Linked DNA regions of Drosophila melanogaster. The gene in region 2 interacts genetically with the main gene of each other region. Each region holds a gene or a part of one and is shown on either strand. Other genes may lie near its edges.

Region 1 (5,870 bases), on a different chromosome or scaffold from region 2:
ACTTCCACAAGCTGGCACAATTTTGTCTTGATTCGAATGGCATAAACAGTCATATCCAGGTGGCGAACGTAGCGCACTATTCCTAGCATCATGCCTTCGATGCTTGTAACACCTAAATGTTCCGATGGCGAGGGTTGATCGTTGTTGGGATCCTTGTTGGCTTTGGGATCCAGAATTGATTTCATTATGTAGATGGTGTGCTCGATAAACTGCGTGTTGATGTCGGTCACATTGACGTTCACCTGACCTTGCTGATCGAAGAACTTCTCCACGATGGCTCTAACCTGGTCGAAGAGTATAGGATACAGTTGGGTGGACATCTCCTCGCCCACCAGTTCCTTCACATTTTTCTGAATATTAAGTCCAATTTTTTCGTTGCTGCAAACTAACAGGCGCAATAGTTGGCCCACGAATCTAAATTAAAGTTATAGGTTATATATGGGACATGTTAAAATAAATAAAACCTTACTGTGTTACAGGACAATAGCTGACATCTTGTGGCGGTGCTGGGGGAAGAGTGGATAGTGAAACCGTGCTAGGATGCAGAGAGCCATGTCCAGAACTTGTGGAGCTTGAGTAAAGAGAGTTTTGAGCAAGTGATCCCAAAGAAGCATTGTTCTGTGATTGCTGCAGCAGCATTTGACGACTGCTGCTACGTTTATGAAGGCAGACGCCACCCAAGGCTAATAGAAACCATGTCATATTGGCCCATTCATTAATTTGTTCCTCCAAATCGTGCTCTGAGCTTTGGTGACTCGCTCGCCGCTTGCCCATGCCACGATGGAAAACCTCCGCTTGGCCATCTTCTCCTTTACATTTGGGGTACGTTTGCAAAACCTTGCTGGATACTTCCCAGTTGCGGAAGGTTTCCTCCCAGGCGGGCTGAACACCATGAACACAGTGCTCGATCTTGCGCAATAGGGTCATTATGCGCTTTTGAAGTGTAAGACGGCTCAGCACATTGCCGTGCGTGTTGTCAAAAAAGCAAATGCGAGAGTCCGTTGCAGCTAAAACGAAATTATTATTAATAAAAATATGTATGATGAATTTACCAAACTCACATGTGGACAACTGAGCCAGCTCCTGGTAAATGTGGTAATTCGGCATAATAAATCCGACTGTCAATTCATCAGAACTGCAGCAAATCTCAGCCTCCTCGCATAGTAGTCCAAAACACGATAGCGATGTCAGCACCGCATCTAAATCAACACTCCACAGGTACATGAAGAAAACAACTTCCATCTTAATGTGAGCCTGCTTGCAAATGGCAATCTGACTTCCCACATGTGCATAATCCTTGTGTCGCTGAAGAAAAGTATTCCGACAGATGAGGATCTCGCGTAGCCACTTTAAGACATCAGTGTAATTGGCAATTTGGTGTTGAATGAGCTTTTGCGAGATTGAAAACAGTACTTGGGAGCTAACGTCCCAGAACGTATTGATCGGAGCCTCTGGATTCCAAACCTCTATTTTCTCCGGGGCGTGCAGAGCAAGCAGCGCCTCCATAGCCTCTTGTGCCACATCGGGCATGGTAGTTTGATGCACCAAACTAACTAAGCCGTTGATGAGCTCCAATGTGGAGCTCTGCACTTCATGTGCCACTTTTCCTTGGGTCTATATTACAAAACAATTGTTAAATATGAGACTATTATCGATCAAATTATCAAATAACTCACATTCAACAAAAGCGTGGGATCTGCATGAATTAGCCGTACGAGTAGCAGTAATAGCATTTTGTGGGCGGGACCCTCTTCAGCGCGGGTTAAACCTTTCTGGGTATCTTTAGATTTGAGCGTCAGGGAGGTTATGTAGCGCAGTGGCGTATGGGCTATATAACCCTGGGTGGCCTTGTTGAGCGTATCCGTAAACAAAGCTCGTAGCTCAGCAGAACGGTAGTGAACCACATCCGTTTGCGGCCACCAAGACAATCTCGGTTGGTTTACTATTCGAAAGGGGTTCTTGTTCTGCAAACGGAAGTCAACGTATATGTGAGCCAACCTATAATGGAAAGTATACATGTAAAAGTCAAGAGTTTTATATAGCTACCCAAGTAAATTACCTTAGCAGAGAGCACACAATTACAAAATGGTAAGCCTGCGGCGAGGACAAATTCAGGCAAACCTTTAGAGCCTCGATGTTGTGAGGATTAATCCGGAAACAAGACACCCAGCAGTCAATCATCAGCTCGATATCAGCGAAGTTGTACCCCTGACCGCGCGAAAAGGGCTTTGCTGGATTAAAGAGCAGTGCCTTGAGATCGTTGATAAAGAATTGCACCAACTTGAAGACCACATTATTGGAGTCGGTGTTGTTGATGTAGGTGGATGCTTTGCACAGCTTTACACAGGCAATTGCCGCAGATTCGGTCACCTGTTTGGATGGTGAGTGCTGGCCCAAGCCTCTCTTGATACTCTCGATGAACTGCTTGGCCGAGAAGTCCTTGTCCCGGGACGTGGATTGCGCTGACTTCGAGGCAACCTTTTCCTTGTCCTTTTCCTTCTCTTTCTCCGACTGCTGAAGTTCGTTAACAACAGCCTCAAGGCAAGAGGGATTCAATATCAGCAAGAGCATTTGAAGCGGCCAAACAAGAGTCTTGCTTTTCTTGTTTTCGGTTTTAAAGTACTCTACAAAGTCCATCAGGGGTTCCCAGCAGCTAAACGAAACAGGATCAATTAATGTGACTTTAAAAACGCTTGTAATTCCTCTTACGTTGATATATCTCGATTGGTTCCTCGTTGCAAGTCCTGGAACTCTTGTGGATGGTACTCGATCCAGTTCCAAATAGCCTTCTCCAGCGAGTAAAGCAAGATCAAAGGTGGAGCACGCTTCGATCGAAACTTTGTGATGGTTTCTGGAAACGTAAAACGTTGTTTAACCTTTCCGAAATATTAAAAAAGTTAGTTTACCTTGTAGCAGCTTGGTTAGCTTTATCATATCCATATCGATGTGTTGAATTAATTCTATGTCGTTGTAGTCCGGGTTTTCCTCGGAACAGGATGTCAGCTCTTGAATCCTGGCCGATATGCGATTGAACACCGCCGAGAAGTGATTCTGGGACAAGGCAAAGAGCACCTTGGATGCCAGGGCCTTGAGCTGGGCGGCATTCGGATTGCTGTCGCTCTGGACGTCGACAAACTGGGAGATCTCGCGCAGCAGAAGCTTCACATTCATGGCCTCTTCAAAACGTGCTGTGTCCTTGGTCTGGTTGGTCAGACAGCGTTCCAGAGTGGTCAGTATGATGACCAGCGACTCAAAGTAGCAACGCTCTGGCTCATGGCGATTTTGAAGGGCCTGCAATGAAATTTTTGTTTAAGTAATTTAATCGTATCCTAGCCCCATAAAATAAGGCAACATAGTTTAAGGGTTAACAATAGAGAATGGAGTACTTACCGCCTCATTGACCCTCTGCAGCATCTTGGTGAGACCGGATATGACAAGGGAGAAGCGGTAGCGCGATATGTGGATCAGACAGGCCACCAATTGGTCCTGGCTCATCCTGGCCTGCGTGCCATAGGCACCGATTCTGTTTGGCAGCTGAAAAAGTAAACCATTGATTGCTCAATTCCACTTCATTCATGCGGGAACCGGTGTTTTTGTTATTGTTGCTATCTCGCTCTCCCACGCATTTGATTGAGAGCTCACACTGACAGAGCGGGTGAGGCACGCACACTCGCAAGGTCGCTGTGAGCATGTGTGGGGGAGGAAGAGGCAGAGCAGCAGGTACATTTTTTCGCTTGCGAAAACGCAACTGCGGAAAAGCGATTGGAAAACACTTGCCTGATCCTCGAAACGTGCCAAAAGGGCGCTAGCCCACTCGCCTGGCTTCTGGGTCATCTTGTTGTGGTGTTTTAACAGTTGTTTATGCGTTTTTTACTGCATTTCAGCAACTAAATAGGGCAGCTTTTCGTTGAGCTTGGGGAGTGGCAATTGGTTGAGTGGCATCTTTGTTCGTTATCCTTGGTGTTTTTTTCAGTTCCTGAGACGTTCACTTCCTTCTCTTCCAACAATTTGGATGGTTTGGCTTTACAAAACGGGCACTGTTTCTTTTTTTATGGGAATTTTCTAAGGGCTTACAGGCTGTTATTTGGATGTTTATATTGTGTGTGTACCGCCTTCCATTTCTTTCACAATACCGAAACGCTTTTATAAGTGATAACAATTACATCCTATCGATATATCGCTTATTTTCAAATAGTGATGGCATCAGACCAACTAGTACTGAATTCATTAGGGTGACCATAAGCCACAAGTAAATGCGCGCGCTCACAGGAGCGTTTAAAAATTCCAAAAATATTTGGCCTTCATTTCGTTCTATCTCATTTGATGCTATTATTTTATATGGTCTAAGTGTTCCAATTAGAAATATAAATGATTTTTAAAACAGATTCAGTTCAGTAAGTATTATTAGTTTATTTAATGTTGTTGTTAATGCATTACAAATTATCAATATTAAATATTTCAGATGGTTTTGTAGCTTGGGTTTTGAGTTAATTCCGTTTGAGTGTGCCTGTTTGGCTCTGTGCAAATTATACATATTTTCCAGCAATACTTAATGTTTATAATGTTTCAGCATTTCGAGCAGTAATAGGTTCAAATCGAGTTCTATCTGTTGTAATTTAGTGTTGCGTCCAACGTTAGTTAATATTTATTCAATTGTTCTATTATTTTACGGTATAAAGTTAGTTTAGCTAGCTAAAAAACACATGTACAGTCGCATATAGGTATATATATGTATATATTTGGTTTTATTGAAAATGTTTGCGTTATTTTTCAAATAACCCTTCTTAAGCTGACAAAAATTTGAGTTTAGGCATAGGCTTATGTTACAATCGTCTTATTGGCCGTTTTTGGGAAGTGAGTTGGGTACTTTATCCAATCAATTAAAGTAAATAAAAAAGTGCTTTAAAAAGGTGAAAAATTTATATATGTGGAAAATTGTGAGCTTGCGGAAAGAGTTTCTTAAACTGTTTTGTGTATATATTTTTGATTTTACTTTGCATTCGATATATGTACGGTTTTCTCATAGATTTAAATGCAGTTATTGATATTTTTAGAGGGTTCTATTAACTTTGCAGTTTTAAGGAGTGTATACATGCACGTACATAGTTGCTATATTACTTTGTTCTAGCTGCTTAACTGGTATCTTGATTTTCTCTTGTATAAGTGGTATATGTTGGCTGCAATGGACGTTTGATGATTATTCGCTTCGAAATTATAGCATAAAGTGCTTGAAACTTAGTCTGCAGATAGCGCAAGATACAAACAGATGATCGTTGTAAATAGAATATGCTCGTATAACTAGTAAGATTTGTATTTAGCTTGCGTTGTTTCGTTATCGCATTCGATTCGATTGGTTTCGTTCTTACAGCTAAGTTTTCCTTTGAAATTGGATTTCAATGCAGTGCAATCCTGCGTTCGCGTCCTTGAGCAGGCCTGCTAACAATAAATTAGTGCTGGATAGCAGGACGGGCCTTCCCCGCCCCGCACCGCCAGCCGACTAGAGTAATAGACTAAATTTAACAATTCCTTTGGGGGCATCAGATCAGAGACTACAGCTAGGAAATGGGCATTTGTTTTAGATCAGGGATTCAAACGGGTAAACGGGTACGCCTTGAAAAAATCAAAAAAGCTGCTTGGATTTTGAATGTCCTAAAAAGATATTCAAGTGTTTTTGTAGAGCAACTTAAAATGTATTAGATGCGTATAAAAAAATGTAATTCAAAGTAATTTAACGTATATCCTTTAAATATTTGGTATACATGCTTCGGTCCCAGTAATAGCAAATAAACTTAAGTTTCGTTTCGAATCCCCGTTTGAGAGTTGGGTGCTTAGATGGTCCACACCTGAACCTTCTCGGCCACCACACACCA
Region 2 (7,951 bases):
ATCGAGAGACAGCTGCATCGATTCAGGGACTTGAGGTTCAGCATGAGAGAGCCGCCTGCTCTCCACGAAGATTTGCTCATTAAGTTGGGTGGCCAACTGAACAGCCTGCACATCAACGTGGGCTACTCCACCAAGGACCAGGACGTACTCCGGTACCTGAGGCCACTGTGCCAAGGGGCCGCCGAGAGCCGCAGGATTCGGGCTCTGAAGTTGGACCATGCCAAGTGGTCGGCGGAGATAGTGGGCACTGTGGGCCAGGTGGTTCCATCGCTGCTATTTCTGGACATGCGTCACTGCGATGTGCGAGACTACCAGATAGCACAGCTCTTGCAATCGGCAGATAAGCTAAAGGCACTCGCTCTACTCCACATTGACAATCAGACGGGTGATTCCTATCTGCAGCCGCAACTACTCAACAGATTGCCATCGCTGAAGCTCATTCACCTAACCACCTTGGGTTCCATGGGCTTTAACCCCGAAAACCTGACACGGCTGTGCCCGAACCTGAGCTTCCTCGTCAGTGACCTAATCAAGGGAGATTTTAAGATATATGGCCCGCCTGCCTACATACAGAACTACTACAAGTGCTATAATGAGTACTTCAAGACCGCCTGAGTACATGTGGCACAGTTTGCAGAGATCTCAGTGGAATTGGATTCTATATTTGATATGAACTCACTCTTTTTGTAAATATTTTTGTCTTTTACTATGCAAGAGATTGCAATTGCATTTAAAATACACACTCAAACAAATGTACAACCGAAAAGCTCTTCTTTTCGACAGAATTCAATTTCTCGTTTGCACTAATTTGAGTTAATAAAAGTAGATAATTGAATACAATTTGACTTAAGTTTTAAATTTCCGTTAGAGAGAATACTGCTTAGTTTAAACTGCTTGCTTTCGCACAGATAAGCTGGGCAACATACTTTGCTTAATGCAAGCATACCACCACATAAATATGTTAGCAGGATAACTTAATAACACAGCGCTGTTCAATTTGTTAGCATTTTTAATTTAATTTAAGCAAATAAATTTACCTTAATACGATATTTGACAATTGGTTTGCAAGTGTAAAGGCGGTATTTTTCGTATCGCTTTAAGTCTGGTATTTTACACATCGCGCACTGCGATAGTATCGCTGACAAATATTTTGTGCCGGCATGCAATTCAGAAATAAAAAACTGGTGAAATAGCTCATAAATATAAATAGCTTAAGAAGCGATTGGCTGGCAAAGAGAACGACCGGAGAGTCAGGATGGTGGTGCGTCCGTACAACGATGAGCTCCGGTACCTGGAGAAAGTGAGCGACCACTGCTGGCGCATCAAGAAGGGCTTCCAGCCAAATATGAATGTGGAGGGGTGTTTCTATGTGAACAGCCGGCTGGAGCGCCTGATGCTGGAGGAGCTGAAGAACTCCTGTCGCCCGGGCGCAGTGGGTGGCTTCCTGCCTGGCGTCAAGCAGATAGCCAATGTGGCCGCGTTGCCGGGCATCGTGGGCAGGTCCATTGGACTGCCCGACATTCATTCCGGCTACGGATTTGCCATCGGGAACATGGCTGCTTTCGACATGAACGATCCGCTGTCCGTTGTAAGTCCCGGCGGCGTGGGTTTCGACATCAACTGTGGCGTGCGTCTGCTGCGCACGAATCTGTACGAGAAGGATGTGCAGCCGGTGAAGGAGCAACTGGCGCAGTCCCTGTTCGATCACATACCCGTGGGTGTGGGCTCCAAGGGCATCATACCCATGAATGCCCGCGATCTGGAGGAGGCCCTCGAAATGGGCATGGACTGGTCGCTGCGCGAGGGATACGTGTGGGCGGAGGACAAGGAGCATTGCGAGGAGTACGGCCGCATGCTGAACGCCGATCCCGCCAAGGTGAGCATGCGGGCCAAGAAGCGAGGGCTGCCCCAGCTGGGCACTCTGGGTGCGGGCAATCACTACGCCGAGATCCAGGTGGTGGACGAAATCTACGACAAGTGGAGCGCCTCCAAGATGGGCATCGAGGAGAAGGGCCAGGTGGTGGTGATGATTCACTCGGGCAGTCGTGGCTTCGGCCACCAGGTCGCTACCGACGCCCTGGTCCAGATGGAGAAGGCCATGAAGCGGGACAAGATCGAGACCAATGACCGGCAGCTGGCCTGCGCCAGGATCAATTCGGTGGAGGGACAGGACTACTTGAAGGCCATGGCGGCGGCTGCGAACTTTGCCTGGGTGAATCGCAGCTCCATGACATTCCTCACCCGTCAAGCGTTTGCCAAGATGTTTAACACCACACCCGATGATCTCGACATGCACGTTATCTATGACGTTTCGCACAATATTGCCAAGGTGGAGAACCACATGGTGGACGGCAAGGAGCGGAAGCTGTTGGTTCACCGGAAGGGCTCCACGCGCGCCTTCCCGCCACACCATCCCCTGATCCCAGTGGACTATCAGCTTACCGGGCAGCCAGTCCTCGTCGGTGGAACCATGGGCACTTGCAGTTACGTGCTAACTGGAACGGAGCAGGGCATGCAGGAGACGTTCGGTAGCACTTGCCACGGAGCGGTGAGTAACCAAATCCCGTTTCTTCCTGTTCGCCAGACTAAAACCTCCTTGAATCTTTAGGGTCGTGCACTATCTCGAGCCAAATCCCGGCGCAATCTGGACTACAAGGATGTGCTGGACAAGCTGGACCAGTTGGGCATCGCCATACGCGTGGCCTCGCCCAAACTGGTCATGGAGGAGGCACCCGAATCTTACAAGGACGTGACCGATGTGGTCGACACCTGTCACGCAGCTGGCATCAGCAAAAAGTGCATCAAGATGCGCCCAATTGCAGTTATCAAGGGCTAAGTCTAATTTATTATTGTGATTAAGTCAATAAACATTTGGTCCGATGGCTGTCAATTTAGTTAATAACGAATTAAAATTTTTATAGAATTTGTTAAGAGGTTTTCGTTTTTTTATTCAAAGTTAACAGTTATGTAGTTAAGCTGTTAAGTGAGCTGTGGTCACCCCACACTGGCGCTCTGTTAACGGCGAGCTTAGCATTATGTTAGGCCAAAGGCCCGGTCTGTTAGTTGTCAGCTGACTGCCAATCCAATTGGACCTGCTGCACGGCGCGAATTTTGATTGAGCTGCCCATTTCGATTTATTTAAACGAAAAAAAACGAATTATATTCGTTGTTAACAACACGCCGTGTGCAATTCTGTATGTGCGCCTGCTAATCGCTCGGGAATCGTGAGTGCAATTAAGCCGAAAACTCACTGCAGCCGGCAGTCAACCAAGCTGCGCAGTAGGAAAAGGCCAAAGAAATCTAGCCACTGCTGTTGCCGCCGGACTTAACTGCAAGAACAAACAAACGCAGGCACTATGACGAACATGCGGCCGCCGCAGAAGTCCAAGCTGCTGAAGGTCGTCATACTGGGCGACGGAGGCGTTGGCAAGTCCGCCCTGCTCACCCGATTCGTCGCCAATCGCTACGAGGAGAACAACTTCCACACCATCGGCGTGGAGTTCATGAACAAGGACATAGTCGTCGACGGGGAGCGCTACACTCTGCAGGTGAAGACTACGACTATGACTATTATGCAATCCAACTACTGACTAGGAGTAATAGTAATACCGATATTGCGGCAAGGCCGTAGAACTTTTGCAATTCTTATGGTGAATGCAACAGTTGGCCAAGCGTATTTCCTTCAAGTGTATTTCACTTAAACACTAACCCCCTCCCCCCCCCCCCAAACGGATCTATCCCACCGTCGCATGGTTGTGCCCGATCCACCGGCATTTTGTTGATGCAAACACTTAGAAACTACACAACGATTAAGCCTTGTTTTCCATTCCCTTACATTCGCGGCACAGTGGAACTTTAGTAAGTTAAACAGGGTAAAAACAGAAGTGCTAACAAATTAAACCATTTAAACAAGGAAACATTGACTATACATTCCTTGAACCATTTGAAACACTCGTATACCAGAGAAAAGTATTATCTTACTGACACGTTTTTGAGTCTTGCATTTGAAATTAAGAAAAAAATATGTGCAATCAATTAATTACGTAGTTTTTTCCACTGTAGCTGTACCTACATTATGGGGGTATCTGTTCCATCTGCCCCATCCCCACTCACACACACACATATATGAACATTAGATTTCTACTCAATTAGCGTTGAGAACGGAATGGCATTGCAGAAACAAAAAACTGAAATAATAACAATAATGACAGTTTCGCCATTCGGCAAACAAGTGAGAGACTTTGTTTCATCCGCCGACGCGGTTTCCCCCGCTCCATCTCATCCGCATCGCAGTTGTTTTCCATTTTCCATTCGGACTGTTGTCTTCAAAAGTATCGAACTAAATGATTTTCACAGTTCGCCAAGCTCGGAAAACTCATGAATATGCAGCGCGTCTCAGTGAGTAAGCAAAATGCAGCCAAGGTGTCGCAAATCGGAATAATAATTCTAATTGGACCAGCAGATACATTATAAAGTAGGAAGTAGCGAATGTGGACTGATTGATATACATATGACTAATCCGACGGGAATCTCGCATAGTTTGCTGGTTCACAGTTCGCTGGGCACAGGAAGAACTTGGCCAAAAGCGGATTTCCCAGTGCTGCAAAAAATCGTGGAATCACTGGGGTGTTTTTTGCACTACCTATATACATATGTACATATGTATGGAGTCACTTAGTTACCATGGGCAGTACTCACACCCTAAAAGGGTTATTCCACCCATGTGTTTGGAGGCCAAAGGTGTTTATATTAGATAAAGAAGTTTAAAGTATCCATTGTTAGAGCTAAAAGTATAACCTCATGTTCGAAAGTATAAAATAAATAAAAGTATAAAATAAATATTTAAAGTATGTATGCTACTCGAAAATTCAGATTCAACGAACTATTTCCTGAGCTAATTGCTTATCACCACCTCGTTATCAGTTCAAAACTAAATATTTAATTAACACACAAGAAATGACAGTAAATGTGTTGATATAAGTGAGTCAGTCAGGCATGCAAACACTCCATAGGTTTTCAAACGGCGAAAGTGTTTGTTTCTCAGTGAGTTTGCTTCTAATCGAATGCAAATTTCAATTGAGCGCCATTTGAATCGCCAATTCAATCAAACTTAATTGATGCATTGCCTTAATTGGAATTTCCCCAAACTAGATATGGGACACCGCTGGCCAGGAGCGATTCCGGGCTCTACGCACCCCGTTCTACAGAGGATCGGACATCTGTCTGCTCTGCTACGCACTCGACGACCGGGACAGCTTGAAGGGATTGGGTGTGTGGCGCAATGAGTTCCTCAACTACGCAGATGTGGACCAGGACAAGTTTCCATTCATCGTGGTGGGAAATAAGGTGAGCCATGCTTGCAGAACGTTCATCTTGAGTTTAAAAGGTTAATTGCTTCCAATTGTAGAACGACATTCCGGCGCAGAAGCGACAGGTGAGCTCCGACGCAGTGCAGCAGTGGTGCGCGGAGCAGAAGGTGGCCTGCCACATCGAGACGTCATCGAAGGCGGCCACCAATGTGACGGATGCGTTCGTCCTTGGCCTTCGCCAGTGGCGGCACATGGAGTGCGTGGCCGAGGCGGAACTGCGCCAGCACGGCGACACCATTGACCTCACCCGCCCCATTCGCCTGGTGCAGCGGCGCATCTGTTGCACAGGCGGAGGAGGCGGTGGCGGCGGCGTAGGGCAGGACGCGGATGGCGATGATGCCGCCATGCACAGTCCGGGCAAGAAAGTGTTCGGCCAGAAGCGCAACGCCAGCAAGGCGCCAGCCACCAATTATCGGCTATGAGCAGACAGACAGGAGCTGTCAGGAAACTTACGCTTAATTTAACCACTCACCCCGCCGGGTTGACCTTCAGATTCAATGCATTCCAGTCCGCGGAGGGGCAGGAGCTTCAGACCGAAAGGCAACCCATCCACCCAATGTTGATGGCTGTAGAGAGTGGATTGCCTCGTTGTGGTTGATATTCTAAGGGAACTATGCTTCACAGCGAGCTAACTATGAGCTAGCTTCTATGTCAAGAATAGGATCTCCATTTTTACTTGCTATGCTTTAATATTATCTTACTAAGTTATTATTTTGTTATGTTACCGTATCGAATATATGCGGTATGAAATACTCTTATAACAATCGTATATAAGCTTTACCATAACCAAGTGTCTTGCTTGAGGAAAGCAAGCTTTAGGTGTCTAATGTACTACGCATAAGGCAATCAGAATGTAATCACTACATTTTTTCCTTATATATTGCATAATTTCGGAGTGCCTTAAGTGTGTTTATCTGATGTGAAAGCTGGGAACAAACGAATAAATATGAATACCGCACGTGTTTGTTTACAAAGTATGTTTATATTTTAACAATTGGTTTAATGTACAATAGTAAAATGATATAAATACGCTTACCCCGGATTAAAATAATATGCATGTAGGTATAACACTTCTTCTGGCTGCGATCGACACTCCGATCCTGGTTAAGACTAAGGCAAACTCTAGGCGCTACTCACTAACAGGACAAGCGTATGGTAGATCGAGTGCTTAACTATAACGCTCCACGTGGGCTTAATGTGAAGACGTGTGGAAACGAGTGGAGTTGATTATCACGAGCAGCACCAGGCCGGTGGCCACAGATCACTTCTTCTTGTAGCCGTACGAGTTGATGGTGTCGAACTCGGTGTCGCACTTGAGCAGCAGCTGGTACCACTGGTCGCTGTCGATGCGGCTGGCCTCCCGGAATCCTCCGTAGGCGGCTGGCAGGCACTTGGGCGACATGTATTTGTGCAGGGACTCGCGATCGGTGCCATGGAAGATGATCCTGCTGCGCAGCTTCTCCTTGAGGAAGGGCTTGAACAGGGCAAAGACCACCTGGAAAATCTTCGGCTGGTTCACGATGTGAATGGCCTTGATCCGGAGCGGCACCGAGTCCTGAAGCCAGTCCACAATGCGCTTGGCGAACGGAGGCGTAAACTGCCACGTTTGCTGGAGACTGAGGCCATCCATGTCGAAGATCACAACGGCTCCGCAGATCTGTGTTTCTGGCTCCAGCATGGCCGCCTCCAGGAAGAGCACAGCTCCCTTGAACACCTCATCGAGGGTGACCTGCTTGTGCTTCCAGCGCTCTGTAATCGGGGATTACGAAAGATTAATACAGGATCTGCTCAATGCTTGGAGCAACTATGAAACTTCAAATGATAGGAAAACCTGCATCTTAACTAAAATAAACTTTACTCTGAAGATCGAGATCTTTGCACTCAAAAGCTAATATATTGAAGTATCCTTCTTTCAGTGTACTTACTGCCCAGTTCGAGGACCAAAATGCGACGACCCAGTTGATCTCGGTTGGGGAAGACGGTAAGGATGTTGTGCTTGAAGATGTTGGCCTCGTTCGATGGCTTCAGGTCGGTGTACACATCCGCGTGCTTCACCTTGAAGGCGTAGTACCGCTTAATCTGTTCCATATTCAGAATATATACAATTAGTAACACAGCTGGAAACTGGGTTGCCACACTAGACTCACCAGATCACGGGCACTTTCCGGGTAATACTTGCAGGGCCGCAGGTATCTGATCAGCCACTCCTCGTTTCCCTTGGGGTACAGCAAGTCCGTCTCCGCTGGAAGCATATCGCAAATATTAATCGACCTCACCTTCAATAGTCTTAATTCTAAAAAGTCACTAAACCACTGGCATTAAGTTTATCCAGCAATTAAAAGGCAATCGTAATTTGTAACAATAGTTACGAATCTTATGCAACGAAATCCTCTCGAGGGCGCGCTGCTTTTAGCCCCAACTTGTTATTAGTGACACGAAGTCGCCAACTAATGATATAGAACTATTCGTTCGAACTTGGTGTACAAATGGATTTTCAATTCCCAACAATCGGGTAAATTATTAGATGCAGGCTAAGTACGAAGTTTATGGCTTAAGTTTTATTAACTCAAGTTTTTATCAGC

Evidence for each region. Genes that interact genetically often act in the same process or in processes that back each other up.
Region 1: of Rab9 (region 2) and Nf1, changing one suppresses a phenotype caused by changing the other (phenotypic suppression), as found in Drosophila melanogaster (one study listed by BioGRID).

What each region holds. Positions count from the first base shown.
Region 1 is NT_033777.3:25,981,256-25,987,125, reverse strand, and holds the start of Nf1 (neurofibromin 1), read right to left. Parts: upstream 4,114-5,870; 5' UTR 3,835-4,113; coding exon 3,778-3,834; intron 3,535-3,777; coding exon 3,391-3,534; intron 3,292-3,390; coding exon 2,907-3,291; intron 2,852-2,906; coding exon 2,710-2,851; intron 2,654-2,709; coding exon 2,060-2,653; intron 1,999-2,059; coding exon 1,677-1,998; intron 1,615-1,676; coding exon 1,062-1,614; intron 1,008-1,061; coding exon 470-1,007; intron 415-469; coding exon 1-414. Other genes in the region: fid (fire dancer), read right to left, coding at 5,829-5,870.
Region 2 is NT_033779.5:19,429,516-19,437,466, forward strand, and holds Rab9 (Rab9), read left to right. Parts: upstream 1-3,058; 5' UTR 3,059-3,356; coding exon 3,357-3,548; intron 3,549-5,151; coding exon 5,152-5,346; intron 5,347-5,407; coding exon 5,408-5,791; 3' UTR 5,792-6,326; downstream 6,327-7,951. Other genes in the region: CG13085 (uncharacterized protein), read left to right, coding at 1-615; RtcB RNA ligase, read left to right, coding at 1,256-2,548, 2,609-2,836; CG10237 (uncharacterized protein), read right to left, coding at 6,631-7,118, 7,295-7,448, 7,517-7,611.